Linked DNA regions of Oryzias latipes. The protein of the gene in region 2 interacts with the protein of the main gene of each other region in a pairwise test. Links are inferred from orthologs where the notes say so. Each region holds a gene or a part of one and is shown on either strand. Other genes may lie near its edges. The genes, in order: pdlim7, wwp2, ankrd44, arrdc1, wipf1 and fbxl18.

The links.
Region 1: the proteins of wwp2 (region 2) and pdlim7 interact in binary tests that used the Homo sapiens proteins (3 or more experiments, as listed by UniProt). The link is inferred for Oryzias latipes from reciprocal best matches to the Homo sapiens genes WWP2 and PDLIM7.
Region 3: the proteins of wwp2 (region 2) and ankrd44 interact in binary tests that used the Homo sapiens proteins (3 or more experiments, as listed by UniProt). The two-hybrid records come from large-scale screens. The link is inferred for Oryzias latipes from reciprocal best matches to the Homo sapiens genes WWP2 and ANKRD44.
Region 4: the proteins of wwp2 (region 2) and arrdc1 interact in binary tests that used the Homo sapiens proteins (3 or more experiments, as listed by UniProt). The link is inferred for Oryzias latipes from reciprocal best matches to the Homo sapiens genes WWP2 and ARRDC1.
Region 5: the proteins of wwp2 (region 2) and wipf1 interact in binary tests that used the Homo sapiens proteins (3 or more experiments, as listed by UniProt). The two-hybrid records come from large-scale screens. The link is inferred for Oryzias latipes from reciprocal best matches to the Homo sapiens genes WWP2 and WIPF1.
Region 6: the proteins of wwp2 (region 2) and fbxl18 interact in a two-hybrid assay, tested with the Homo sapiens proteins (3 studies listed by BioGRID and IntAct). The link is inferred for Oryzias latipes from reciprocal best matches to the Homo sapiens genes WWP2 and FBXL18.

What each region holds. Positions count from the first base shown.
Region 1 is NC_019868.2:19,511,587-19,515,641, forward strand, and holds the end of pdlim7 (PDZ and LIM domain protein 7), read right to left. Parts: intron 2,452-4,055; coding exon 2,336-2,451; intron 2,056-2,335; coding exon 1,969-2,055; 3' UTR 1,004-1,968; downstream 1-1,003. UniProt on the Homo sapiens protein: May function as a scaffold on which the coordinated assembly of proteins can occur. May play a role as an adapter that, via its PDZ domain, localizes LIM-binding proteins to actin filaments of both skeletal muscle and nonmuscle tissues.
Region 2 is NC_019864.2:27,508,620-27,513,273, reverse strand, and holds part of wwp2 (NEDD4-like E3 ubiquitin-protein ligase WWP2), read right to left. Parts: intron 3,417-4,654; coding exon 3,345-3,416; intron 2,472-3,344; coding exon 2,383-2,471; intron 1,599-2,382; exon of another isoform or gene 1,504-1,598; intron 399-1,503; coding exon 239-398; intron 1-238. UniProt on the Homo sapiens protein: E3 ubiquitin-protein ligase which accepts ubiquitin from an E2 ubiquitin-conjugating enzyme in the form of a thioester and then directly transfers the ubiquitin to targeted substrates.
Region 3 is NC_019879.2:183,190-188,606, reverse strand, and holds the start of ankrd44 (serine/threonine-protein phosphatase 6 regulatory ankyrin repeat subunit B), read right to left. Parts: upstream 3,565-5,417; 5' UTR 3,092-3,564; coding exon 3,065-3,091; intron 1-3,064. Other genes in the region: sf3b1 (splicing factor 3B subunit 1), read left to right, coding at 4,027-4,054, 5,098-5,270, 5,396-5,417. UniProt on the Homo sapiens protein: Putative regulatory subunit of protein phosphatase 6 (PP6) that may be involved in the recognition of phosphoprotein substrates.
Region 4 is NC_019870.2:26,761,529-26,766,862, forward strand, and holds the start of arrdc1 (arrestin domain-containing protein 1), read right to left. Parts: upstream 3,594-5,334; 5' UTR 3,058-3,593; coding exon 2,940-3,057; intron 1-2,939. UniProt on the Homo sapiens protein: Functions as an adapter recruiting ubiquitin-protein ligases to their specific substrates. Through an ubiquitination-dependent mechanism plays for instance a role in the incorporation of SLC11A2 into extracellular vesicles.
Region 5 is NC_019873.2:4,905,404-4,910,827, reverse strand, and holds the start of wipf1 (WAS/WASL-interacting protein family member 1), read right to left. Parts: upstream 3,656-5,424; 5' UTR 3,534-3,655; intron 3,506-3,533; exon of another isoform or gene 3,367-3,505; intron 1-3,366. UniProt on the Homo sapiens protein: Plays a role in the reorganization of the actin cytoskeleton. Contributes with NCK1 and GRB2 in the recruitment and activation of WASL.
Region 6 is NC_019859.2:22,450,239-22,455,513, forward strand, and holds the start of fbxl18 (F-box/LRR-repeat protein 18), read right to left. Parts: upstream 3,214-5,275; 5' UTR 2,300-3,213; coding exon 2,246-2,299; intron 1,494-2,245; coding exon 1,296-1,493; intron 1-1,295. UniProt on the Homo sapiens protein: Substrate-recognition component of the SCF (SKP1-CUL1-F-box protein)-type E3 ubiquitin ligase complex.

The DNA.
Region 1 (4,055 bases), on a different chromosome or scaffold from region 2:
GAACAAAAGTGAAAAATGTAATTCTTCCGATCGGTTCTTCTAACACTCTTTGATGCCAAACGTGATTTTTGTTAAAGTCGATATTAAATTCTATAGAAATAGCTTTATTACAGGAAGTTTAGGATATGCAAGGCGGAAAGTTATAAAGTGTTTTTAATTAGACTCACCAAAAAAAATGCAGATTCTGTATTTAGTCACAGGTTTAGGGGCAGTTTATTCATCATTTCCTTACACACATTTATCAAACTCCTATAATGTAAGCTGTTGAACTTTGACCTTTCGGGATAGTGAAGCTTTCATGAAAGCACCTTCTGCTCAGAAACCTGAGCTCCAGCAACAGTCTATTAAACTTACAGAACACCGCATTCTGTCCTTAAGACCTCCATTTATATCAAATTTCATTTTAAGATGCTTTAATTATTTTGATTTTATAAGAACTTCTGTATTTTATATTCATGTTTAAAGTTCAGATGTTATATTCAACAGTCTCTAAATATAGAATAAAAGTGGGAAAATGAAAAGGAAAATATTTCCAAACATTTAGAAGCTGTTAGGGTGAATATTCTGGAAAGGGAGTTGGTAGATTTGTAAAGCTTTAAGTTTATAAAAATATTCTTTTTTTTACTAGTTTTTGATTTGTTGGTTTAAACCAAGTCTGTAAATTTACCAGTGGTTGTATAACACTATTGTAACCACAAAAACAAAGTGTAGTTTAAACTAGAAACAAACTTAACGTTTTGTAATTTACTTGTTTTTTTTTAGCTAAACATCTATTTTTTTTTTTTTTTCCCCCCTAAGCTGTTTCTTTTATTTTTTTTTAACTGGAATGGAAGATTTAAAGTCTTAATGAATAATTAGTGGGTAGTCGTAAAAAAAAAAAGGACAATGTGTACGTTGGACTCATGATTCATTTAAATGTCCATAAAAACTTAAAAAATGACTAACAAAAAAATGTTTAAATGTGGTGGAAAAACTGCAAAAATATTTTCCTACACGAGAAGTATTTTATCGAACAAACCCAGTTTATTAAACCGTGTGAAAGGTTAAAGGAGTCGTGCAAAGTGAAGAGAAGGAAACAAAACTAAATGAAAATTGTGAAGTTCATGATCTCTGCCAAACAGTGAAGAGTCTAAAATCTTCTTTTAGGAAATAACTGAACATTAATGACATGCAGTTAGATTAGATAGATTCAAATGTGGAACATTATTACATTTTGAATTACATATTAAAAAAAACAGGGAATTATTTGTATACAAGTCAAAACACAAATAACATGTTTTTGTTTTTAAATAATTGAGTTTCTTCAGTTTGTGTGGCATCTAAAAGGGTTTTATTTGAAACTTTCAACATAAAAGCTACAGAAAATTAAAGCATAGAAATAAATTCCATCATGAAACTAGTGTTTCATGTGATCTTTGACCTTTATTATCAGAACAAGAGCATGAGGGGGAGGAGCAAAGAGGAAAAAAAAGAGAAAATGTGAGTCTTTGTTTAACATTCCAATGATAATATTCTGCTAAACCGGGTTCAGTAGCATTACAGGCGCTGTGGGAGGAGCTTTTCTGCTCTCAGTACAGAAGTGTATTGATGAAATCTGAGCATTATATATATATATATATATATATATATATATATATATATATATATATATATATATATATATATATATATATATATATATATATATCAAGAGCTGACGATCTGAAATAATTTCTCGATTAGTTCCAGTAAAGCAGCAAAATGTTAATTACAAAGTGACATCTGGAGAGTTTTAGCAGCCCTAGAAGGTGACAGCATGTGAAGTCAGAATGAAGCCTCTGAAAATAAAGTCTGCAGGATATAAAAAAAAAAACAGACTGAGCTGAAGTGGCTGTGTGGTTGGCAATGCTGATCGTGTCAGAGGGCAAAACGGGGTAAAGAGGAGGTGGAGGCAGAAGTTGTTCTTTCTGCAGATGCAGCTGGCTCCTCTCACACCGGAGCAAAAGCGTGGCTTTTGCACAGCGGCTTATCCTTCTTCGAGTAGAACGTCTTACCCTCAAGGTTGATTTGGCAGAGCTTTAAAGATGAAAGAAGACAGACAGACGGAGTCAGATGGAGCAACCGAGGTGGAGGAGATATCAAACTGCACCAGTGCCAATGGGAATTTGCACAGTTTGGTGCGGGCCAGAGCGGACCCATGCGTCTCCTTTGACTGTTTTCACGCTCAGATAGGAAAAACCAAACTGAAGAAAGAGCTCCAGGTTCTAAGATGAGCTCAGATGGGTCAGGTTCTGCTGAGATTGGAGAAAAATTGGGGCTAAAAACAAAAAAAAAAAAGGGGTCCAATCAGACTTACAGCACAGACGAAGCACGTGTCGTGCCAGCTGAAGCCTAAGGCCTCCAGGAAACGATCGCCGGCATCAATCTTGAAGTCGCAGCCGTGGCATTTGGTGCCAAACATCTTCTCGTAGTCTGGAGAGGAAACAGAGGAAACTCAGATTCCAGGGAGACTTGACGTCTGTAGAACCAGGCCAAATTATGTCAACAGAACTTTACTTCTCGCCGAGGTTACGGCGCAAAGGATCTCCAAGAGCTCTCGCCTTTCATGTTTTTTTAAAAAGCTGGAGGTTAGCGCCCTTAAAGATGAGAAGACGCTACACACAAGCACTTAAGGGATTGAAGGGAAGCAATAACGGCGGATGAGATGCTGCGGATGCCAAATGCTGGCTCCGCTCCTCATTGGCCATTTGATAGTGTGATATTTGGAGCAACAGTGGTGCCTTCACAGCATGCGGGGATTAGGAGGAGGGGAGGGGGAAATTGCTCCCAATACTTGACTGGATTTGCCAGTCTCTTTCATCACGAGGACTCTGGGGAAAGTGTCAGGTTATAACGCAGCTTCTCAAGAGGCAGCGAGAGCGGCACAATTCCTGCAAGATGCTGAGGCAGCAGAATGTTTATCAGAGCTGAAGGCATTATTCAGAAAATGAGGATTGGGGTTTCTGCCTCTGCCTCTGATAAAGCAGCAAAACCCGTCAGGGGCTGAGCGTTGAGTAAGAAACACATTGCCCCGCTAAATCATTTAGAGCATAATAGAGGAGCGTGCACCTTTCATAACTGCCTACAGAGGGATGCATGGAGTAAACTGCAGCTAAATACATTACAGCAGATGAAAACATCACACTCGGTGATTGACTGTGCTGTGCAGCGCTCCGATTCACCAGACAGAAAGCCTCGGCAGCGCTGCAGCCGGGCTTCACACAGCTGTCACAAAGAGCCTGATAAAAGTCTTTATTTTGGTTTGGAAAACTTCCCATCCTCTCAGCTGCAGAGTGCTGTTGCATCAAACATTTAAGACAGACGGCCTGTGATGCTTTGTACTTAGATTTACAAGAAACATGCAGAAATCATGGGGGGGGGGGGCTCTCACACGGCCTGAGAGGTCTCCCATTGTGCGCTGGAACTAATCAATGTGCACGCTGGGATTTGGAGCCACTTTAATTTCTGCCAGTTTCCTTTTCTACTGCTCAAGTATCCCTGCCACAGACGGAATGGAACTGTCCATTCAAACTCGGGTTTCTGGGGAGGAAAGTGATTACTCCACTCATTTCTAACTGCGCTTCCACAAACCACATTATTCTGACTCGTCTGCACGTGATCCCCCCACCCCCCACCGACAGGAATAAGTCTGTCAGGGAAATTAAATAAATAAATAAAAATAACAGTGAGACAAGAACTCCCTGATCAGCAGTAAAGTAGAAAAAGCCCCCAGCAGGAGCCCCCCGGGGTGTCCAAACTGGCTATAGGGAGTCAAGTTTAGGAGTAAAATGCAGCATAAGGGGCCAGAAATCACAAGTTGAAGTGTGGAGCTAAACTGGAGCTAAAAAAAAAGAAAGTAACGGAGACATCCAGGAGTGACGCTGAGCAGCAGCAGCAGCACTCACAAACTGAAGAAGTTGCAGAGTTACACTCTAGTAAAGGTTATAAACACGCCAATCATCTTTTGATCTGTTGTGAAATCGTTCCCAGTGGTCTTTTCATTACGATGGTGCCGTTTTTAGCCAAAATCAAGAAAC
Region 2 (4,654 bases):
AAAACATCACAGTAACAAAAAAGATATGCATGTGAAAAATGCCAGTGCCAGGTATCGGACCAGCAAGGTTCTACACCAAGGATTCCAAATGTATTAAAAAAGGAGAATAAAATCCTGGAAATCCTGGAATATCTTTAAAAATTCCAGGATTTGAAGGACCAAAGTAGGTTTTGCTAACTGGGTTTGCAAGAACAAATATTTTTCAAGATTTAAGCAAAAACAAATGGAAGTAGCTCACCATGGCGATGAAGCGGCCGATGAAGCGGAAGTAGGTGAGGTGGTCGGGGTTGATGGAGGAGGCGGGGTTGATCTGGAGGCAGTAGTTGTTCTTGCCGGCGTATTCAAACAAACAGTACATGGGGTTCAGGACTTCGTGTGACAGCAGGAAGAACCACTCTCTGCAGAGCGAGAGGACAGACGGCGTTACTGCAGGGCGGAGCAAAAACCTGAAGATCATTTACGTCAGGACAACAGCTTTCATTTTCATTTAGGGAAGGGATGGAAAGCTCAACACATGTCTGGAGATAACACCATATAAGAAACACAAAGAAAAATAGAAAGTCCGAGATTCAGCAAAAAAACGAAACCTGTAAAACATGGAAGGATAAAAATAAAAAAGGAACTTTACACATTAGTGGAAAATAAAACAAAAATAAACGAAAGTGTTACAACTTTTCCAAATTCCTAAGAAAGAATTTCCCACTCTCATAAAGATTGTGTTTTTAACATGTTCTTGAGCCATTTTTCTCATGATGGAGAGCACATATAGAAAAACTTAAGACTTAAAACTGCATTTCTGAGTAATTCTTTATTCAAACCATAGTGAAAAAAAGAAAAAAAGGCATTGGAAAAAACTTGGGTGACATAGAAGCTACTACGGCAAGCCACAAGCTCCCTGCTCCGCTCCATCTTGATGCATCCACCAGACAAATAGATCTGTGAACGAGTTTGTTTTTCGTATTCAAGCTGACGTCTGGCTCAAAACCAAAGACTAGCTCCGATATTGCTCGCCATTTTTGTTGCACCGGTAATATTCGGTTGGGGTTGTGAGGACTGTAAGCTAACGAGAGAGCGTGCAAACAGATGGATGATGGGAAGGGAGGAAAGCTTACTCTGCACCAACAGTTCCACCTACAATTCAATTTCATATAAACTACTATTGCTCTGCAGAAACTATGTTCTAGTAAACTACACCTTTTATTTTTTTGTGGCTAAAAACGGCATTTAAAAAAAAATAATGCTGTGAACGCTTTAAAAATACATCAAGAGATGATCAGAATCAGATCAAATGTGTTAAAGTTTGTCTTGAAGCAATTCCAACGAACGACAGAGCAGAAGAATCTGAAGAGCAGATTAGACAAACTGTGGAGGAATGAATGTTAGACAGAATGAAGGCCCCTCCACCAGCAGCAGCAGCAGCGCTCCTTAAGCCCCGCCCACACCCGCGGGGGGCGTGCGGAGCGCTGGGTGTTATGGACTGACGGACGGGCTGACGGACGCAGACACCTCCCAACATCCCGTCCGTGGTTCTACCCTGTGGTAGAACAGCATGATGTCACCTACCATAGGGTAAAACCACTGACGTGACACCGGAGACAGAGACACAATGCAAAAAAACAAAAAAAAAACAAAACACCCAAAAGGGAGAACGATGAGAACACCACAAACAGAAAAAAAAATATATGCAGAGAGGAAGACCTGAAGGACAGCAGGAGGCGTGACAGGAACAGATGATGGTGGGAGGACAAGGGAGCTCCAGGAGGAGGAGGTTCTGCAACAAGCTAAAACATCCCTGTGTGGCTACAGGATGAATCTTTACACAGAAGACGCTTTTCTGCCTTCAACTCTGGCGTTTAAACACAGGGGAAGCTAACGGATGATTGCCACAAGAACCTGTAGGATCATGGATCTCCAAAAGTTAGCAAACTTTAATCAGAGCTCAGACAAATAGCAGGAGGATTACAGGGTTTAGTGTCGAACCTGATAAACCCGGTGATGCTGCATCCTGTCGCTACGGCAACAAATTGAGAAAACGCTGCCACCATCGGGTCATTAAAACAACTCCTAGTGCATGTTGGGACAACAGACTGAAATTTTAAAGCTAAAAATAGTTTAAGTCACGAGTTGATAATGAAACAAAGCATAACATAAACTTTGCGTTCATTCTCCATCACTAAACCTAAATATGTAATCTATAGGAGGAGGAGGAGGAAGCGGCAGAAGCTAAACATACACCAACACCACCCTCACCAACATCAAACATGGAGGCTTGTGTAAAGAATACCCACAGGTGGATGAGATGCAGGAAAACCAGAGAAGGCACATAAGACGACAGAATGCGAATGAAGGCTAAGGCGGAGGTGCGTTTGGATTTCTCCTCACCTGGCGATGCCGCCATAGTCAAGCCCCTCCTCCCCTCTCATGATGATGTAGAGTCGACGACGAAGATCGTACGGCTTCACATTCATGATCTGATGAAGAGAAGTGTAAAAAAAAAAAAAAAAAAGGTTACTAGTAAATTACTAGTAATTTTTTCTGTTAGAAGTAACAATTGTTTTTCAAGACAAAACATATTGAATGATCTTGAGTCATTTGATTTTAAAATACATCAAATTTTTAAGTGTATTATATTATTTTATGCATTTTAACTGTAATTTGTGTTTTTTTTCCTCTTGTAGAGCACTTTGTGACTGCTGTCTGTGGTACTTACCAAATATCTATATCATTAGAAATTTGCCTGAGTTGTGGATGGGACTGTTAGCATAGAGTGCCCCGCCCCCCCTTCCTATCACCCTTATCCGATAGTTCTCTGTTCACTCTCTATCCTGCTAGCTTACAGCCCCTCACATCCGTAATCCAACATGACCGGCACAACAAAAATGACAATATATGTCCTCCACATAATGAGAAAAATGCCAAAGTTTTAAAGTAAACATACATTTATGTATATGAATTTATGTCCAATTCTCATCTTACTTTTAGAAAAAAAAGGTTTAGAAATAAGGACTGTTGTAGCACGAGGAATAGCACAGGATTTTTTTTTGGGGGGGGGGGGGTACTTTATTTTAAATCATGTTTTGAAATATTTCCAGTTACAAGAGCAATCAATATACCTGACAATGAGTGTCTAACCCATCTTCAAAGGCCAGAACATCCTAACTTATTTGAAGATGAAATCTTAACACAAATTCACTATTTCCATTGGCACTTTTAAGCGAAAAACATCTCATACTCTGCTTTTTTCTTCAGTGTATGATTTTGAAAGCGGACAAGAGAAAGGAAAATGAAACTTGACGTCACTTGTTTAGTCTATGTTCAAATCCTAGAGTAGTTTTCAGTCTGACCTGCTGAAATGAATCCTCAAACAGCGTCTGTCTGGACACGGAGATCTTCACGTGGCTTGGCAAGGCGTTGGACTGCAGGGCAACAAGAACCACGAGAGGGTAAGAGTTAAACATATAAACACACACACACATATCTATATATCCATATATCTATATATATATATAGATATATATAAGTATATTTATATCGAGTTGCTGCTACAGTTTGACAGGTGTGCGTAAGAAAGTGACCAGTGAGTCCACTCACTGAGGCATGTAGCCAAGGTCAAGACGGTCTGCTATAGTTCAAACAGAGCATCAGAACCAGGAAGAAAGGTGGTTGAAGTGACTTTGAACGTTGCATGGTTGTTGGTGCCAGACGGGCTGGTCTGAGGATTTCAGAAACTGCTGATCTTCTGGGATTTTCACCCACAACCATCTCTGGGGTTTACAGAGAATAGCCCCAAAATGAGATCAGAGGAGAATGGCCAGACTAGTTCCAGCTGATAGAAAGATAACAGGAACTCAAAGAACCACTGGTTACAACCAACAAAGCCTGGTGCCACCGCCACAGTCTACCAGAGTACTGTTGCTGACCATGTCTATCCCTTTCTGACCACAGTGTACCATCTTGTACCAGCGCGGTGTCATAAAGCTGGAATCATCTTAGACATGATGATGCGTTCACTGGACTCAAATGGCCTCCACATTCACCAGATCTCAACCCAACAGAACACCTTTGGGACGTAATGGAACAGGAGATCGGCATCATGGGATGTGCAGCCGACAAATCTGCTGCAACTGCGTGATGCTGTCATGTCAATATGGACCCACCTCTCTGAGGAATGTGTCCAGTACTTTGTTGAATCAATGCCACCAAGGATTAAGGCAGTTCTGAAGGTAAAGCGGGTCCAGCACGGTACTAGCAAGGTGTTCCTAATAAAGTGGCAGTCCGTTTGTGCCTTCTATTTCTTTAGTAAGATATTTTCACTACATATTCATTTCAAAATAAAATAAATGGAGTCTGTTGATTTTTATTCTCCTCTCACATTGACAGTCTAACAGGTTTTAATAATTTTTTAAAGGATAATAAGTGTTCAATTTATAATTTATCCAAGAATAAATTAGGACGTGATCCTTTTGCCTCAAATAACAAAAAAAAAAGTAGTATTTTTCTGCTTGGAGGAGGCAAAACAATCAGTGAGAGCAGATCCAGACAACAGCAGCTGACTCCTAAAATAATATGAGGTATATAAAAAAATTAAAAATAAAAGGACTTGGAAAAGAGTTTCTGTGCTGTACCCAAGAGCCAGAAGAAATGTGACCTAAAT
Region 3 (5,417 bases), on a different chromosome or scaffold from region 2:
AACATACATGGACCATGTGTGTTAAAGTACAACATACATGGACCGTGTGTGAAAGTACAACATACATGGACCATGTGTATGAAAGTACAACATACATGGACCATGTGTGTTAAAGTACAACATACATGGACCGTGTGTGAAAGTACAACATACATGGACCATGTGTATGAAAGTACAACATACATGGACCATGTGTGTTAAAGTACAACATACATGGACCATGTGTGTTAAAGTACAACATACATGGACCATGTGTGTTAAAGTACAACATACATGGACCATGTGTGTTAAAGTACAACATACATGGACCATGTGTATGAAAGTACAACATACATGGACCATGTGTGTTAAAGTACAACATACATGGAGCGTGTGTGAAAGTACAACATACATGGACCATGTGTGTTAAAGTACAACATACATGGACCGTGTGTGTTAAAGTACAAAATACATGGACCATGTGTGAAAGTCCAAAATACATGGACCGTGTGTGAAAGTACAACATACATGGACCATGTGTATGAAAGTACAACATACATGGACCATGTGTGTTAAAGTACAAAATACATGGACCGTGTGTGAAAGTACAACATACATGGACCGTGTGTAAAACTACAACATACATGGACTGTGTGTGAAAGTACAACATACATGGACCATGTGTATGAAAGTACAAAATACATGGACCGTGTGTGAAAGTACAACATACATGGACCGTGTGTAAAACTACAACATACATGGACCATGTGTGAAAGTACAACATACATGGACCATGTGTATGAAAGTACAACATACGTGGACCATGTGTGTTAAAGTACAACATACATCGACCGTGTGTGAAAGTACAACATACATGGACCACGTGTATGAAAGTACAACATACATGGACCGTGTGTGAAAGTACAACATACATGGACCATGTGTGTTAAAGTACAACATACATGGACCATGTGTGTTAAAGTACAACATACATGGACCATGTGTATGAAAGTACAACATACATGGACCATGTGTGTTAAAGTACAACATACATGGACCATGTGTGAAAGTACAAAATACATGGACCATGTGTGAAAGTACAACATACATGGACCATGTGTGTTAAAGTACAAAATACATGGACCATGTGTGAAAGTACAACATACATGGACCATGTGTATGAAAGTACAACATACATGGACCATGTGTGTTAAAGTACAACATACATGGACCGTGTGTGAAAGTACAACATACATGGACCGTGTGTAAAACTACAACATACATGGACCATGTGTATGAAAGTACAACATACATGGACCGTGTGTGAAAGTACAACATACATGGTACGTGTGTAAAACTACAACATACATGGACCATGTGTGAAAGTACAACATACATGGACCATGTGTATGAAAGTACAACATACGTGGACCATGTGTGTTAAAGTACAACATACATCGACCGTGTGTGAAAGTACAACATACATGGACCACGTGTATGAAAGTACAACATACATGGACCGTGTGTGAAAGTACAACATACATGGACCATGTGTATGAAAGTACAACATACATGGACCGTGTGTGAAAGTACAACATACATGGACCATGTGTGTTAAAGTACAACATACATGGACCGTGTGTGAAAGTACAACATACATGGACCGTGTGTGAAAGTACAACATACATGGACCATGTGTGTTAAAGTACAACATACATGGATCGTGTGTGAAAGTACAACATACATGGACCATGTGTATGAAAGTACAACATACATGGACCGTGTGTGAAAGTACAACATACATGGACCATGTGTGTTAAAGTACAACATACATGGACCGTGTGTGAAAGTACAACATACATGGACCGTGTGTGAAAGTACAACATACATGGACCATGTGTATGAAAGTACAACATACATGGACCGTGTGTGAAAGTACAACATACATGGACCATGTGTGTTAAAGTACAACATACATGGACCATGTGTGTTAAAGTACAACATACATGGACCATGTGTGTTAAAGTACAACATACATGGACCGTGTGTGAAAGTACAACATACATGGACCGTGTGTGAAAGTACAACATACATGGACCATGTGTATGAAAGTACAACATACATGGACCGTGTGTGAAAGTACAACATACATGGACCATGTGTATGAAAGTACAACATACATGGACCGTGTGTGAAAGTACAACATACATGGACCATGTGTGTTAAAGTACAACATACATGGACCGTGTGTGAAAGTACAACATACATGGACCGTGTGTGAAAGTACAACATACATGGACCATGTGTGTTAAAGTACAACATACATGGACCGTGTGTGAAAGTACAACATACATGGACCATGTGAGAAACTGCATAGGAGCCTGGCCGTGTTGGCCCCACTGACAGGGGACACAAATGTAAATCCAATGCAATAAAACAGTAATGAACTTTGAAGGTGGGGGCCCTTGGTGGCATCAGAGAGCTGCACCCTCCTCTCCAAACTCTTGTAGTGTGAGGACCCCCCAGGGAAGACGGTGTGACAGCACACTCTTTGAGGGGCCTACCGGCAGCTGTTCCTGAAGAACTGTGACGTCATCAGGTACCCCAGCAGAGCACCTTCATGTGCCACTGAGCTTTTCTGAGGACAGCTGCCGTCTTTGATCCAACACCTGGATGCAGGTGAGGGGAGGAGCCAGGATGTCACCTGCAGCATTCCTCACATTTCAGACCTGCTGTCAGTAACATCTGCGGTTATCAGTAGTGATGATGACACAAACACTGAAGTGAGACACTGGAGGTTTTCCTCTATTTCTGCTTCTGCCTGTTTCCCCCGCAGTTCTGGTTCTGGTTCTGGTTTAGTTCTAGCCCACAGACCCGTTTTTATCAGATGAATCAATGAAGAAAAGGTTCCGCTTGAAATGAGCGGTGAAAACCTTCCGAGCTGAACTTTTTTCTGCGGAAGTTCTTCTTCTCCGTCTGCGCCGCGGTCCGTCCCCTCAGAGGCGGAACCGAGCTCCGCTTTGACCCGGGCGGGATGCTGAGCGGCGCCTCGGAGGCTAAGCTAACGGTGGCTAGCGCACCCTACCTGATCGGCCAGCTTGAGGACCGCCATCTCTGGGTCAGCCGCTGCGACCTGCACGGAGCGATGCTGCGCGGCAAGCGTCCGCCTGGACCGGGGCTGCAGCGGCGTCTACGAGGCTCGTGGGTAACCGGTGCTTGCTGTTGTGAGGAAGGCCGTGCCGGGCTCCACGGCCATCAGCCCTGCTCCACGGACGCTATCCGCGGCGCCGCTAGAACGCGGCGGCCGCGCAGAGTCAAAGGGAGGCGGGACAGGTCTGAGCCGCCGCCGCAAACAACCCGCATCTACGGCTGCCGCTGGTCGGAGATGCCGCGCGGCTCTGGGAGCTTTACGGAGCACGCGGAAGCCTCCGTCCGCCCTGGGTGCAGTGAAGGGATCTGGGGAGACAGCGGGCTGAAGGCAGAGCGCACAGGAAGTGGCAGCGTCCGCCTGTCAGATTCAGAAGTGGAGCTTCCTCAGCAGCATCACCGGCCGCGCGGGTTGCCGCTCGCTGCCGCCCCTAGCGGCCACGCGCGGGGCGCCGCTCGCTGCTGCCCCTAGCGGCCACGCGCGGGGCGCCGCTCGCGGCTGCCCCTAGCGGCCACGCGTGATGAGCCGCTGAGGGGGCAGTGAGCGTAAACATGAATAAAGTTAAGTTAAAAAATTATATACAATAATAGAGAAAAATACATACTTATAATCATTATTCAACAAGGTGAATAATGATAATTATAATACTTATTATTATTGTTGCTGTTTTTTATAGGCTGTTTGCACAGTGGGTTGAGAGGAAAGAAATTTCATCTGTGCTGTAGATCTTGTAAAATTCAGTACATTTAAAAATAAAGCTGACTTAATATAATAATAATAATAATAATAATAATAATAATAATAATAATAATAATAACGTTTCTCTGTCGTGCTGGCTAAAAGAGGCGGAAGAAGAGGTGACGCACTTCCGGTGTCAGTCTCGAACAACCACCGTCAAGATGGCGAAGATCGCCAAAACACACGAAGGTAAAATATCACGAAAACCTGTGAATACGTTGTGTGTGGCCCTCTCTTCAGCTCTTTTGCTTTTTTAAATAATGTATGCGTTTTGTGGTGTCAAATGTTTTTTGAAGTTGTGCTTTGTGGCCGACAAAAACATAAAAAACGAGGCGGCCTGTGACGACGCAACGCGGACATTTTACATAATGGCGCCGGTTGCTAGCAAGCGAGCTGAAGCCTCACACAGCACCTTTGCTACCGTGAAATAGTTCACGTTACTGCGCTAAGCCGTTGAGTTCTGTGTATATTGGTATTTTATTTGTTAGTTTGTTATCTGCAGTTGTTTGGTTTTCTTTGTCCTGTAGATTAGCATATTTAACGCGAACACGCAGCGTGACCAACTTCGCCGTGCTATTTGCACAAAATGTTTTTGCAGTGCAAATGAACGATTTTGCAGTGCAAAACGGTTTTGTGTGAATCTTTGTGGTTCTTCTGTGGCAAAGAACCGATCATCCTATCGAAACCAGTCTGCGGTGTTTTGGGTGCAAACCTGGCCGTTTAGTTCACGAAGAACCGCGGGATGAATGTCAGCAACGTGCGTTTGTAACAAAAGCCCAATCTTTCGTTTAACGTGTGATCAGCAATGGGCGCGTGCTGGAGCGATCAGGCTCAGCTTTTGGTGTGTAAACAAAAGACCAGGCTGGAGCTGCTGTTCAGGATTGATTCATCATTAAGCGAGAAAACTGTTCAGGAGCGCGCTTGTTGCATGAAATTACATTTACAAATTTAGCCGATTTCAATTAAAAAGTCAATCAAAAAACTCAAAAGTCCCCCCCCCCCGTTTATTATGCGACTTAAGATCATTTTTCTACAGCTTTGCTATTTGTAACTAATGAAGTTGACTAAAAAAAGTGTCATTAATTGTTGACATTGAAGCTTTCCATAACTTGTTGTGGTTTTTTATTTTTACGAAAAACCCACATGGCCACAAATCCAGTTTTAACAATAAAATATTGTTGAAAAATGTAATGTATATTCATTCCCACATGTATTTTTACTTGGGTGCTTAGATATTGAGGCGCAGATCCTGGAGATCCAGGGGATGAAGGCCTCCCTGAAAGAGGATGCAGGTCAGGGAGTGGGCCTGGACTCCACTGGCTTTTACGACCAGGAGATCTATGGAGGCAGCGACGGTCGTTTTGTGGGATATGTCACTTCCATTGCAGCCAATGAGCAGGAAGATGTAAGTAAAGATGTTTTACCTGCAGTTTTCAGTCTGCTCCCACCGTGCTTGTCTTGTGTGAGCTAGGAGAGTCTTGCCGCTTTGGCGAGATTTGACTAGACTCTTGTTTCTCTTTCTGTCTTTAGGATGATGAAGATGACACATCGA
Region 4 (5,334 bases), on a different chromosome or scaffold from region 2:
AGAATTATTTGGAGTAATGCTCATCTAGATACACAACCAGCAGACTCACTGTGAGCAACATTTAAACCAAAACAGGCAGGTGGCCATTACGGTCTAAAGTCACATTCGGGGTACAGAAAGCAGTAAAGAGCTTCACGCTGTGCTGCAGCTTCATGCTGTTTGCATATTTCCTCTGGATGAATCCTTCTCTGACAGGAAGTGGGCGTGACCCGAGCACGAGGAGACACGAGGAGACCCGAAAGAAACGACTAAACTACAGACACGCCTCAGCTTCATTCAGCACGTACACAACCATTGTTGCTTTTAATTAACAAAAAGCAGCAACACACACCAATGCATTTACAGAACTGAGAAGATAATTGACACCAACCTTTCCACCAAACTCACACCTGCAGACCAGGGTGAGCCATAATGGGGAATTTATTCTTTGAAGGAATTGATACCAAAAGAAATTAATTTTTAATTCAATAAAAAGCAACAACACTTTCCCACAACACTGGAGGAACTTTAACTCGTCTTCTTAACTGTGTTTGAACCCCCTCCCCACTACCTAACCCCAAAAAGACTAGTGCGGGACTATCTAGTGCCCTGGATTTTATTGCAGTTCAGACACAACCTCATTACCTTTCCCCTCAAATGTCACCAATTTGCCAAAGTAAAACCCTAAATATGAGCCTTTAGCAGAGACGGATAAATAAAAAACGTACTTCCATACACTTTTTTCAAATGGCGCATCGTTCCAACACAGTGCATTGTGGTCTAGATTAGAGGATGAACTGGTTCCTCCGTCTGCTCCACTGCAGGGTCATGGTTGCAGTTTGTTTTAAACAGATGTTGCAGCGATTTGATGCTTATCTGCTCTCTGTTCTCCCACTGCTGCAGTTACTGACTTGGCGGTTTTGTCTTACACAGATCATCTGGTGTTTGTCTATTTTCTGTCTTCTCAAATCCCAGCAGATTGATATTTCTATTTGTTGGCATAAATAAAAAATCACAAAAGTATTAAAAAAAACTTCCTGTTTAGTTACCAGGTTTATTTTCAGAAAGCATAAAAATCATTGGAATACACTATGATGGGAGTAAAACCTTGGATTTAGATAGTTAATAAGGACTTTATTTAAAATATTATTTGAAATAAATGTTTGGGTTTTGTTTTTCCAAATGAAATGTAGCCACGACGGGGCCCAAGCCAGGGTCCCATTGTGCTGGTCCCAAGCCCGGATAAAGACAGAGGGTTGTGTCAGGAACAGAATCTGATGTAAAGTCTTTGCCAAACCAAATATGCGAATCAGACCTATGATATCCATAACATTAAACAGCTGGTTGATGAGTATTCTGCATTATTGAAAAAAAATAACAATAAATCCTTTTCTGAGAAAAGACTCCTAGTTTCTGTCTTAAATGCAGATTTATTTTTATTTTGAAGTTGAAGGCTCTTCCTCTGTTTCCCCACTGGAACTTTCCAAATACGTTTTTTGGTTATTTTGCTAGCTTGGAGTTTCAATTTAGCGGCAGCCGCTTTAGGGTTTTGTACACGTGACCGAGTCAAAATCCAGAACATCCAACTCAAGAACGAGTTGGATGTGGTGGAGAGAACCCAGTAGTGTTCCAAAATAAAACTTCCTTCAGAATCAGATTATAAATAAAATGAGGGGGGGGGGGGGGTAGGTTGTGCTTTTACCAACTGTCCCTCGGACCGGTACTGGTCCACAGCCCAGGGACCACTGGATTAGCCGACAACAGTGATCTTTGGTATCCATGTGCGGCTTGAGTAAGATTCTCTTCAATCTTTTGTTCAAATCAAGCAGCTTTAGCTGCTATAACTGAAGTAAATCATTCTTTTGGGGGTCTTTTCCATGTTGCCACAGCACATCAAATGCATCAGTTTTAGATCAACTCCTCCTGCAGTGAACGGAGTGGTGGGCCTCAGATCAGGTCGTAACAGACGATCCCTCTGCAGTTCGGGACTTTCCGCCATGAAGAAAAGCTCCATCATTGGATTTCCGTCCCTGCAGTCCCCGTTGGTGGCAGGGGCTTTGTACCTGCCTGCCACTGAGGGGCGCCTCAGTCTGACCAGGGTCACCTCACACAATGGACCCTCTGTTTCCTCCAACCTGCTATCCTCCTTATGACTACAGGTTTGGGAGAAAGATCTTAAAAAGGAATCCGATGTCTTAGAAAGCTCACTCTGTCTGTTCTATATTTCCGGGTTTTGATTTCAAATAATTATTGTGTCAGAATCAGGCAAATGCATCAAACTGAGTAAAAAGCAGTTAGGTAACCTCCTAGGATGGGGGGTTAAAAGACACCTGCAGACTGAGCTTCAGGTTCAGCTTGAGTCACATCGTCTCTGTCCTCAAACAATTTTTGGGGAAATCTCTGCCTCCCATCTGTCAGGCATGGTGGTGGAGTGCTGGTCATATGGGCTTGTCTCTGAATGCCAAAAAGTTACAATGTGGAGCTGGTATTTTAAAGAGCATCACGCAGCCCAACACAGAAGAGCACAAAGAGGAGAGCCGATCATAAACCAACAAAAAACTATCAGACAGACAGACAGACCCTCCGCCTGTAGGAAGTGCGCACGGACTCGTTCTTTTACACTACATGAACCGAGTTTCCCCTTGAACCCAGAATTCAGAAGTTCCGGTGTCCTTACCCCCCCCCCCCCCCACACACACACACACACACACACATACACACACCACCACCACCTGATCGCTTGTTGTTATTTTTGGGAGATTCATCCGCGCTAAAGAACAGCCCGTCCCAGCAGGCTCGCTCGTTTAGCAGAAACTTTACAACAGCAGCTTTTCAGCCGCGCGCTCCCATCCCTGCACCGTCGCGAGGCAAAAGTTTCACCTCACCGACTGAGTGATGCACAGGCGCCGCTAGCGGAAGCGCGCGCAGCCCAGCACCCCCCCCCCCCCCCTCCCCCGTACCTTTGTAATGCAGCGCGCTGCTGGTCCGGATCCTCACGACCCCGCTGACGGACTCCCCCGGACCGTAGACCACCTTGTTGTTGGTGTAGAAGATGTCAAACTCCTGCAGCTTCCCCATGGCTCTGCTCTCCGCTCTGCCGCGCGCTCACCTGCTGCCGCGAGCTGCTCTCCGCCCTCCACGGGGACTGTGACGTCACCGTGACCTCCTCCGAATCCCAGCCGCGAGCTCAGGGACAAACGTTAACGGACAAATGAGTCGATTCTGCCTCAGAAACAGACCCACAAACTTCACCGGAATCCCCTCACGGTCATACCTGCCACAGGTGCTTTTTGATACTGTGACGTCATCCGACTCTAATCTCCGTTCTCGAGTGGGACTTGGTTGGTTCTATGGGTCTTGGATTGTGACGTCAGCCGGGAAGGTGGGTTCTGCACCTTTCAGCTTTTTAGGTGTTGGACGTAGAAGCGCTGAATGCAGACAGGTGTGTCCTCACTACAGGCGCCTTACTCCACAGCAGGCCTTCCTGTTTGATCAAAGTTTAACCTGAAAATAAATAACTAAATGAAACTGAGAAGGAGCTAAAAGCAACTCAGTTCCTGTCAGGACATGCAAATGATGGAGTTTCTTAATGTAGAAAAAAGACAAAACATAAAATAAACATATATCTGCATTAGTAGGTGCTCCTGCTTTTATCTAAAACATATTACAAATGTTAATTTACAAATGTTAATTTACAAATGTTAATTTACAAATGTTAATTTTAAACCAAAAAAGTTCAGTTTTGGTGTTAGGCCGGCTACTTTATTCATAAAATGTTTGTAATATGATCCTTTAAAAAGAGAAAATAAGTTACTTTAGTTAAAACCTCAAGAATCATGTTGGCAAATAACTTTTATATTTATATATTTAGTAATAAAATGTTAATAAAATAAAACAAAATACCAAGGCAAGACTATAGGAAATAACCAAAAACATTTCATAATCTCTGGAGTATTTTGAGAAAAACAAATGTTCCTCATTTGTTGTTTTTTAATAGCACTCTTACCCTTCCCCTCCTTGAATAAAGAAATACTCAGAAATGTAGTTTTTATTTTATTTTTCTTTAAATGGTTGGAGCGGCTGTGGAGCAGAGGTACAGCGGTCGACCTCTGATCGGAACACTGCAGGTTCGGTTCCCACCCATGTGCCGAAGAGTCTTTGAGCAAGACACTGAACCTCACATTGCTGCTGGTGGTCATAGGTTGATGCCAGTGTTCAGCAGCAGTGTGTGGGTGTGTGTGTGTGTGTGTGTGTGTGTGTGTGTGTGTGTGTGTGTGTGTGTGTGTGTGTGTGGGCGAGTGTGACTGTTAAGTGCTTCTGGCTTTCTGAGAGGGTAGGAAAGTGGTATATGAGGGCACTCCACTTACCATAAATGTCCTCATCATCAGAAAAATGCCACAATAACATGTTAAAAACACCGTTTTCCTCAGAGTGAGCCTTTAAATTGGATTCATGTTGGACTCATCCTCACAAACACGGACAGCGTTGGCCTCAGACTGATCAAAGGTAAAGGTTTCAATCAATGGGATTTTTATTGTAAATGTTTAATACAATTCTTTCTTTTTTTGCCACAGAAAAACAACAGTTTTCTCATCTTTCTAAAGTTTGCAGGAACTCAAATGTTCTTTCCGTTTCTGAGGGCTAAGTTGTCTTAGCGGTGCTTCCTGGCTGAAACTGTACTTGTCGTCTCACATCAGCAGCTGGAGCTGCAGGTGCACAGAGATGCTTGTTTCCTCCTCTCGATATCCAAAACGTCCAAATCTAAACGTGATGCCAAATACGCAGGAACAGACTTTTCTCCTTTTAATTTTTACTTTCCACCATCCTATCAGATTTATCTTTTTTAGCTGTTTTTTTCCTCTAAACTAAAGGACCGGCATTTCCATGACGACAGACAAACGGGACTGTTGCCAAGAGACTGCTGTATCCATGGTAATCTTGCATGTGGTAACATCTGATCAGGGCTTAAGAGCCCCTTCATTTTTGTTGTTGTTGTTGCTTATTTTTTTTTTTTGGGGGGGGGGGGGGGGGGGGGGCAAAGACACCCTGCGATGGACTGGCGACCTGTCCAGGGTGTTCCCTGCCTTCGCCCATGAGTGGCTGGGATAGGCTCCAGCAGGCCCGTGACCCCAAAAGGCACAAACGGAAGAAGATGAATGAATGAATGAAAAAAAGGCCAAAGACATGTGAGGGTGCTCTGACAGATTCTTGAAACAGGATGTGATGTCAGGTTTGTCTTTCAGTCCTGAGGTGGATCCACGTCAGCTCCAAGTTCTGGGATTCGATAAAAAATTCATTTGTTTTGGAGTTTAGTCAAACAGTAAATATCTTGAAGATATTTTTCCTGATATTAAA
Region 5 (5,424 bases), on a different chromosome or scaffold from region 2:
ACTCTGAGTTGTGAGCGGGACTGTTTAGCACGTAGCAATCCCGGTGCCACTTCATGTCACCCACCGAGCTCTCTGTTTACATGCTGTCCTGCTAGCTAACAGCCCCTCACACCACCAACCTAACATTACTGGTACAACAAAAATAGCAACCAAGGTGAGAGCTGTCCAGCCGTCCAGTTTAGATCCAGATTCCAGCTCAGACGGGGAAAACAAAGACGTTCATGGATCTCTTTGTCTGACAGTGGATGATCAGAATGGAGCAGAGCAGAGAGACTGTGGGACAGTTAATTTTAGATATTACATAACTACAAGCATTTTTAAACGGCATTTCTTTTCTCTGCTCCTGGTTCACAACAAATTGAATAAAGAAATACTCAGAAATGCATGAGAATAATGCTACACGAACACGTTAAAGTAACATTTCCACTGGAGTGGGTATTCAAACAAGAAAATAAAAAAAACACCAGCCCTTTTCTAACTTCTTTGTATTATTGCATGCAGAGCAAAACGATTGATTAACTCAGTCCAGAATGATAAAAAAAAGTGTGAAGCTTCTTGTGAATAATTTCCTGTTCTAATGAGCGCTGAAAGAATCTGTTAGTCAGAAAAGGAAATTAAATGTAAACCTGAAAGTCTGGTTTCTTTCATCTGCATCTGTTTACCAAAAAGCTGCTAAAGTGACATTCTTCCAATGGTGGAGGACATTTATAAAGAAAATCCAGATTAAAATTAAATTTCTGAACATTTCTTTATTGTAAATCAGAAGCAAAAAAAGGTCCCGCCCCAACTCAGAGGTGAATTTCTAATGAACTCCTGCCGCTCTGCAGAAACTATGTCCTATAGAAAACGACACAGGTTTTTTAAATGTGTCTGAAAATGGCACCGTCATCATCGAAAGACCACTGGGAACACTTTTAAAGATCGGAATGACACTTTAAATAGTTGAATGAACAGCAACGAGTTTGCTGGTAGAAAAGGAAAAAAATATATTTCATCTTAAAACTCTACTATTAAAAAAATCTAACTCTACAGAGTGTCAAAAAGTAGTAACTTTAGATGTATTCTCATCAAACTAAATGACAGTTGTGTGTTTTTTACCGTGTACGTTTTCGCTGAAGCACCACAAATGTGTGCATTAAGTTTCTGGCCACTGTCTGGTGGGGCTGCATGGGTAGTACTGCTAAAATAATGAAACATTTCACTATCTGATGCACAATTCATTTCTGATTTGACAAAAATCAAGAGAGGAGGTTTGTTGTTGTCTAAATTACATTTGCTTTGATGCATTTGAGTAACTGTAACTCATTTTGCTTTTAAACTGAACTTGGCCTCTAAGTGTCTTTGTTTCCTAATGTTCAGAGATATCCTCAAAAACATGTTTATTCACTTTTGACCCATCTGTTTACTTTTTTCGCCCTATTTTTTAAATAACCCAAGAAATGAAGGATTCGTTTCAATTACTAAATTAGGTCAAAATTCAGATGAATTATAATTTCAGCTCGTAGGACGTCAGGCTTTACTGAACCCAACATTAACAGAACCAACTTTAGGCTGCTTGATGTCATCTTTGTATTTCCCACACTCTAAAAACAGTCATGGTGTACCACAGGGCTCTGTAGTGGGACCGCTGCTTCCACTACGGTGTTTGTTGCTGCCATGCAAGAACAAGCAGCACTTTAAGACGAGTATTTCAGGCAACACTGAAAGACAAGACGTAATTCACAAAGACATAAAAGTCCTATGACATCTGGCCTGACACCTTTTCATCCCTGCAAAACACAAACTCTCATCGAGTACTTTTGTCATGTTTGTTCATTCGACATCTAATGACACTTGTTAGAAGACAAAACTAAATCCTTGGTAACGACATTGACGATTTGTTTTAGGACAATAAATCTTGAGTATCTTGAGTTACTGGAGCTTGAAAACATCAAATTTTAAGAAATATATCGGACAAAATATGTTTTTACTGTATTTTTGAGCAAATGTTTTCTTTGTTAACTTTAAAAAACTACGTCCAGATGTCAGCCCCTAAAACTACTACTATGATTTGTAAGAACTGTGTGGTTTTTTTCTAAGACACACAGCTTAATTTGGGGAAAATTGACAGCTTCATTTAACTCATAATTTACATATTATTTTAAGGACATGTTAATATATTTAAAGATGTAATTCTAGTGTTCCTTTTAGATTTGGGGGATTTATAAAAATACAACTACTTTAAAGACACAAAACTCTTTTTTTGCTCATTTTAAGACATAACTTAATTAACAGCTAATGCTATTTGTCCTTAATTTAACCAAATCATGAGCCTCCCACCACTGTTTGCTGTTGCTTTTTAAACATTACAGAGTTATAGAAAGAAAAAAAAGCGGCTCAGCTGTGATCAGAAAACAGCAGATCATCGTCAAGATGCTAAAATGGATCATCTCTGTCATGTTGTTTACGTTGAAAGGATTATTTTCTTCTTTGACAGCAAACCTCTTCATGTCCTCTCTAACCGCATCCATAAACCAGCTCCATGGCTGAGGGTCCGCACCGACACTGGGGGGTGGGGGCATAAACCCCCTCTGTGTTCCTGAGCACATCTCAGGCCTGAAGAGCAGAACTAATCTGAGACACTCGGGTGTGTGACCTTGATTTGACCTGAAGGTGTCCTTCCTCTTAGCATTACTTGATATGAAACTGTATTTATGCTTAAAAAAGAGAGAGGATCAGTGTGAGGCTCTTCCTGTCTTATCTGCAGCTTCGGGACTCGGAAAATCTCACTTTCTCTTAAAAAACATCACCAGAGAAATTCTCTGCACTTGAAACCGTTTACTGTCACCTCCCAAACGCTTCATCAACGGCCTTTCCCATGTGGAACACCAGCTCCTCTCCTCTGCTCCTCACTCCTCATTGGAGGGAGGGGGGGTCTTTAAAAGAATAATTTAAATAAATAAAACTAAAAAACGAATCTTTCAGTTGTAAATGTGGATTTAAGATATTTTGGGATTTGTTGGTAATATGTTAAAAGATTCTAATTAGTTCCAATAAAGAGAAAAGATGAGAGCAAAACAGCAGAGTGTGACTGTCACATGCTGTCATCAGTGGGACGGGCCAGAGGAGATGAGAGCAGGCCTCTCCTGGTTTCTACAGTTCTTCTCTACGCGGGTTCTTTCAGTCTTCTGTGAAAAAGCACTTTGGTTCTGCTCAGAATTAGCATTTACATCCTGGGGCCCATTAAACAGAACAGGAGGAACGCTCCGTCTCCTCAGAGGAGTCCAGCAGCTCTGGTACACAAAGTCCTCACATTCAGCTCCACTCAGACATGCTGCTCCTGCAGGACTTCTCTGTCAGCGGAGGTGATCTGCTGCAGATCCTGACCTGCACCCCAGTCTGCCCAGGCCTCTGCCTGAGGTCCTGACCTCTTCACCTTCCCCTAAGTTGCTCTGGAAACTTCTGGGCTGGACTGAAGTCTCTGCTCGCCGCTGCTCGGCGCCTCCACGCCCGCAGCCACACGCCGAGCTTCAGGGGATCGTGTCTTAGCCTACCTGTGGAAGATCTCCGTCTGCGGCGCTGCCGGTGATCTCTCAGAGACTGGCGGGTTCTGCGGGGTTATGCGGGTGGAGGAAACGCCAGCAGCCAATCCCAGAGAGGAGCCAAGCAGAGCCCTGACGCCACGGGTTGAACTCGCCTGAGAGGAGAGGAGAGGGGAGGAGAGGGGAGGGGAGGAGAGGAGAGGAGAGGAGAGGAGAGGAGAGGAGAGGAGAGGAGAGGAGAGGAGAGGAGAGGAGAGGAGAGGAGAGGAGAGGAGAGGAGAGGAGAGGAGAGGAGAGGGGAGGAGAGGAGAGGAGAGGAGAGGAGAGGAGAGGAGAGGAGAGGAGAGGAGAGGAGAGGAGAGGAGAGGAGAGGAGAGGAGAGGAGAGGAGAAGGGAGACCACAGGAGTCCACTGAAGGTCACTGCTGAAGGTCTCCCGGTTCAGCTGCTAACCCATGTGGGAGAAAACTACATCCGAGGAATAATACCACCTTAAATCTTAAGGTGGTAATTTTTTCTGCTGATGCAAAAACTTTTAGGTAACTTTGTATGGAATTTTATGGAAGAGGATGATGGGCATGGAGAAAGGAAAAAAAAGGGCATAGAAACCTAATCCTCTTCTGCAGATGTTGGACGTCCCAAGAAAATGAAAGATTAAAAACTGAAAATGTACAACATCTTTAAAATATATCAAAACACAATCAAGTGAAAAACTAAACAATATATTGACAGAATTTCCAATTGTTGTGTACATGCATATATACACACATAGGCTAGATTTTGTATTTAGTTTGACCCATTTTTATTCATTAACCATTTTAAAAATTAATTTAAGATAAAATTATATAAATACATATAAGTTAAGCTGTACATTGATGAATTTGTGATTATTATCTGTTGTTCTGCATTTCTTCCTTCTACTAATTTTTTTTTTTTTGTTAATTTACTAAATCATGTTGTGTTTTTTGGAATAACAAAATAAATGTTTAGATGAATCCATATATGTTTAATGATCTGTTTAATGTAGCCCACTGTGATCTGAAGAGTGGAACCTGAAAGAACATTGCAGCAGCTAGAACAACAACAGTCAGCATGAATTATTAAAAAGGCCGTTTCTGTGTCTGAAGTGGACGTCCAGCCTTGACTCAACCCCTGCATACATGGCTCTGGTTGCAGCTTTTGCAGCTGTGCAGTCTCTTTATCCGGGTTTCAACAGCAGGGATGCAACGTTTCCAGATGTGCAGCATGCCAAGAGAAAAAAACTGTTTCAGTCTTCTGAAAGCTTTTTTTTTAAAAGAAAGAAGCACTTGTTCGTATTCTTCTGTCCAAGTCAACACCAGTGAAGAACTTGTGTAACATTATTTTGAAATGTTATGAAAACAGGAATGCTCTCAATAACCTCCAGCTTTTGCAAACAGGAACCGTCAGTTGTGCGCAGCTGCCTCCAAATATGGTCTGAATACGAACCGCAGTGGAGCCGGTTTACGCATAAAAAACAAAAGCAAGAAACAATCAAACGGGGGGGGGGGGGGGAGTAAATAACAGACTGCTTATTTTTTAGTCAACTCGAAGCTGCATTTCTTTTTACCAGACTGCCCACCTCCCGCCCGCCCTTATTCGGACTTCCTAAACCAGATCTACAGGAAGAGGGCTCCCTCTGCTGGTCAGAAGTAGCCATGACATGTCACCATGATGTTTAACGTCCCACTCCGATCCTCTTCTGGTCTATTTTCAAAGTGTTTCCAGTTGTTTAACTTAATTTAATTATAATTATGCCTTTTTTTTAGCCACAATTAAAAACTAACTAAAAACTGTATCATTTTCTAGGGCGTTGTTTCTGCAGAGCGGCAGGAGTCCATCAGAAATTCATCTCTGAGTTGTGGGCAGGACTGTTGGCGTGGAGC
Region 6 (5,275 bases), on a different chromosome or scaffold from region 2:
CCTTTAGTAGGTTGGCTCCCTTAAAGTGAAATGTTGTGCACATTTCAGAATTACACCAATAAGACCTTTCCAGATCAATAATTTAAAGCTGTTTGTTAAACTGAAATAGATCAAGCCGTAAACAGATCCTTCAGAGTAAAAGTATGCTGGAACACACTGTGGCACATATTGTGTCACTTAGTAGGCTTCAATCCTTCTATTATATGACTAAAATGTCATGTGTTGTTTAAAAAATGACGAGAAAAAGGCAACCAACAATAGAAGAAATTAAAGACCCTCAGAAACATTGGGAAACTCTGACAGAGGGAAGTCGGGCAGACCAAGAGTCGATTCTGAATCCTGAGAGTTAACAGCTACATGACATGGAGCCCACGAGACAACAGCTTTAAGGACAGCATCCTTCTAGCTTCATTGGTTGTAGGAGGCTAACCTCAGTTTAAACTGTAAGAAGAAAACTCAAAATTGCCGGGTTGACAGGACAAGTGTCAAAAAGAAGGGTGATTGGTGGTCAATGATCGAAGGGGCAGCGGTTCGATCCCCGCTCCCTCCAGTCAACTGTCGTTGTCTCCTTGGGCAAGACACTTCACCCACCTGGCCTCCAGTGTGGCTCCACTGGTGTGTGAATGTGCATGAATGTCCCGGTGATGGTCAGAGGAGCCGTAGGTGCGAACTGGCAGCCACGCCTCTGTCATCACCAAGTATGAATGAGGAGTGAATGAATAGTGGACACATTGTAAGCGCTTTGAGCGTTATTATTATCATTATTATTACTATGTGTCAGAATAAAAAAAAAGGCTTGCAAGGGCCAGGAAACTGGCCCTCTGATGACTGGAAGGTGTTGTGAACTGAGGAAACAAAGTTAGAATTCTTTAGTTTATCACGCACAATCACACTGTTAAACAGGTGAAAGGATGGCTCCACAATGTGTGACTGGCAAACAAGTAGGGGGAAGTGTGATTATAGGGGGATGTTTAGCTGGATTTAGGGCAAGTGACTTCTACAGCAGCATGACTCTGCAGCACTGTGCCGGTCCTTTTGGTATGTATTCAGGATTCATGGTTTGTTTTTTGTTTTACAGAAACTCCAGTTGCTTTTTTGCACCATTTCAGACATGTGACAGGACATTACACTAAATACATCTTAATAAAAACTAAAAACTTTGGAGTGCTCTTAAACTTTTGTCTGGTAGTGTATATAGGGTTACATGCAGGTATAAAAACGTAAGAACTAACTGAAAAACAAGTTTTCAAACAAGAAAAGCGCCATTACTTTTGAAGGATAAATAATTTCTTTACCAGGTATTCCTCGGACAATCTAACTTTAGTGAGTAGGGACTTGTCATGGCACAGTGTGTGTAACTTTTGGCAGACGTTGGCCACATTTGTCAGCAAGTCACACACTGGAACATGACGCAGGATGCACAGCAGGATCTCATCGGACAAGTCGGACATTCCTGCAGAGGCGGAAGACATTGTGTCCTCCACACGTACAGCCTAAGAAGAAAAGCAAGTCATGCAAAATACAACTTTAGATCAGTAATACACTGAAAGAATATTTAAGATGTTAACATCTTCAATGGAAAAGTTACACAGTGGCTTTCAATATACTATGCATAAAATTCTAATTAAGCAACTGTTTATTCCATATTTTGTCCGTAGAGACTGCGCTTTATCTCTTACACTTTGTGGTTCGACTTTGATGTTTTAATTTCTGACAAAATCACAACAATATTCTTCCATACATAAAAAGTAAGCAGGATGTCTGAGAAAAAAATCATATTCAGCCATTATAATGTGTTGATGAAGCTGCCCTTGCAATGCTTATGAGATGTGGCAACACATGAGTGCACTCCGAAGGGTTTGTTAATTATACATTTTATAAAATACAAAAGTACAACAGATGTACTGTACCAAAACCTGTTCTAGAAAAAATGTCAAAAGAAGCAAGGGCGGTTTTGTTCGCTCCCTCTATCATAGATGGATTACAGTTACCCCAAATCATAGTGTCACAGTGTGGGGCTGTGTAATCCAAGTCTGAGTGTATTCTTCTAAGAAGAGAAGCACTAATTTAACCCATTTAAGAGTGATATCTAAAGCTTAACTAAAACAAAGCACTTTTTGTTTCATTTATATTTATTTACCTTTATTCTTTCCTTTTTTTTAACTGAATTAGACTAGTCAATGGTAAGCAGTCCCTCCCAGGCAGAAAAAAATCATTGTTGCAACGATTTTAGCAACCCTCTTACCTGGACAATTTGTGTATTCATGTCCTCTATAGTTGCACTCACAGTCCCACTCATCGTATGTAGGATTTTATTGTCCCATTCACGCACTATATATTTTTTAATTGTTCATAAAGCTTGCTCCAAATACGAGCTACAAGCTCCTGTATTATACATACACATACATAAATGCTGCTAAACACGTCGGAACTATTTCGAGGACGGACCTACTTCCGCCCATTGGCGAAAGACTTCCGGAGGGTAGATTCTTTTTTTTCTTTTTCTTTTTTTATTTATTCAAACGTGAAAAAAACATCTTACAACAACAATCTTGAAAATCAAAATCAACCAAGAAGATAAATATAAAGTATCATTTAAGAGATTAATTGCATTAAGTAAGAAGATTGTGTGATTTACACGTCTTCACAAGTAAAAGGTAATCTGTTAAATAAAAATGTACTATTGTGGTTCATAAAAAAAAGTTAAATAAATTACTTTAACACGTTTGTTACTATCATTTATTTTTAATCATACTGCTTACATCAAATAAAAAGATTTGAATAAAGTTTTGACTTATTTCGACATAGACGATGTATTGTACAAAAGTAGCCTTTAAGCAATTAGACGTTTTTTGATGTAGACATTAAATCAGAAGTTATGTTTTATAATTCCAAAATTGATGATTTTTTTTATTTAAAGATTAAACTTCCAAGAACCACGTCCCCCGTTTTTACTTTAGATCCCAAAGCAAAGAAAATAAATTCTGAAACAGCAGTTTTGCATCCAAGTAAGAAATAACATTAATTTTGCAACAGCCAAATACCTCCAACAAGTATGGCAAGTCCTGAGAAGCCAGCTCAAGGGCAAGAACAAGAACCGGGCAATAAACAGCTACGCACTGCTAGTTATCAGATACCCTACAGAAATAATAAGACGGCCAAAGGAAGATATACAGATATACAGACCACGGATGTATATCTATATCAATGGCTAGAAAGGGCTGGCCTACAGGACAGCACTGAAGCGCTCATCCTGGCAGCTCAGGAACAAACCCTGAGCACCAGAGCGGTAGAGGCTCAGATCTACCACACCAGACAAGACCCAAGGTGTAGGCTGTGCAAAGAGGCACCTGAAACAATCCAGCACATAACTGCAGGGTGTAAGATGCTGGCAGGTAAAGCATATATAGAGCGCCACAATCAAGTGGCTGGAATAATATACAGAACATGTGTGCAGAATATGAACTGGAAACCCCCAGGTCAAAATGGGAAACACCTCCAAAGGTGGCAGAGAATGAGAGGGCAAAGATCCTGTGGGACTTCCAGATCCAGACTGATAGGATGGTAATGGCGAACCAACCAGGCATTGTAGTGGTGGATAAAGAACAGAGGAAAGCCGTTGTGGAGAATGTGGCAGTGCCAAGCGATGGGAACATCAGGAAGAAGGAACATGAGAAACTGAGGAAATACCAGGGACTCAGAGAAGAACTGGAGAAAGCATGGAAAGTGAAGGTGACAGTGGTGCCTGTGGTAGTTGGAGCACTCGGGGCAGTAACCTCCAATCTGGAGGAGTGGCTACAACAGATATCTGGAAAGACCTCAGACCTCTCAGTCCAGAAAAAGCGCAGTGCTAGGAACAGCTAAGATACTGCGCAGGACCCTCAAGCTCCCAGGCCTCTGGTAGAGGACCCAAGCTTGGAGGAGAAACCACCCGCGGAGGGTGAGAGGGGCGTTTTTTATTTTCATATATATATATATATATATATATTACACTATGTTTTGCTAATTTTGAAATACTAACATTGTAATCTCAATGTTTTAGGCTTGAACATGATAGCTTTCTTGTTAACTGTTTAGTAAGCCAAATATCGGATAAAAATACTTTTATACATGGGGGGGGGGGGGTCTTAAAGATAGTGGTATAATTTCTGGAATAGTGTCTTTAATTAGAATTTACAAACCACAAAAGTAGTAGTAAAATAGTTAAGTAAAGCAAAGCAAATAAAGGGTGGAATAATAAAATTCCCTTCCTCCTACTCCTTTCCAAGCATTTAAACCTTAAATCTCACATTTAATAGATTGTGTCATGGTTTGTATGTACAAGCACAAATATGTCTAATTATGGCATCATTCACATTTGCTATCCTAGGCACTTTAACATTGAGAGTCGAGTTATCTAGACCCACTAGACAGTGCGCTGAACCTTTTTTCTTTAATGATTTGTGAACCTCACTGGTGTCCATGGATTACATGAAATCTTTCCACCTTTATCATGGTAGGGAGAACAGCACAAGGGTTAATGGATGGCTCTTAATTTGCCAGTCGTGAGCAATCGTCCAGAGTTAGATACATTTACATTGATGTACATCTTTACTTCAGTATGTTTTGAGATTACTTCAAAATAGTAAAAAGGTAGATTAAAAAGCAGATATGGCTCATCTAGTGTACTTTGATCACACAGAAAAAAGGTAAAAATTGGAAGTTCAGGTTATTGTAAGTAGCCTGAACGTTTCCCTTGAAGATTAATATGTACACCACAAGAATTGGCAAGTAGTCTCTTCAGTAGTGATGCTTTACCCCCCCCCCCCCCCCAAAATCGTTTGAAATGATTACAAGACCCGAGAAAAAAAAAAAAAAAAAATTAAGCATGGGTGCCAAGTTTAGATGTCATTAACACTGCAAACTTAATTTCTCCCCGATGAAGAAATCTCTAATCTCCACCCTCACTCCAAATGTTTAACCAGGAAGCATCACTATGGAAAGTAAAAGCATTGTTCCAGCCTTGGGCAACACACACATTTTAGTGATCTGTATAAATACTATTCGCATAAAAATATTTGAATGTTAAGACCAGGCAGACAAAAATTCAGACAATGTGCGCTTTATTGGGTTGTGGTGTACACTAGAGGCTTCAACCCCATGCACAATCCTTCATACACTTCAACACTAGGTGAACACCTTGTGTTACACATGACAAAACTCGAGTATTGTTTAAGGCTGAAAGTACAAAAAAAAGTTTAGATTACAATTTAAATATTTAGCAATACTACAGGTC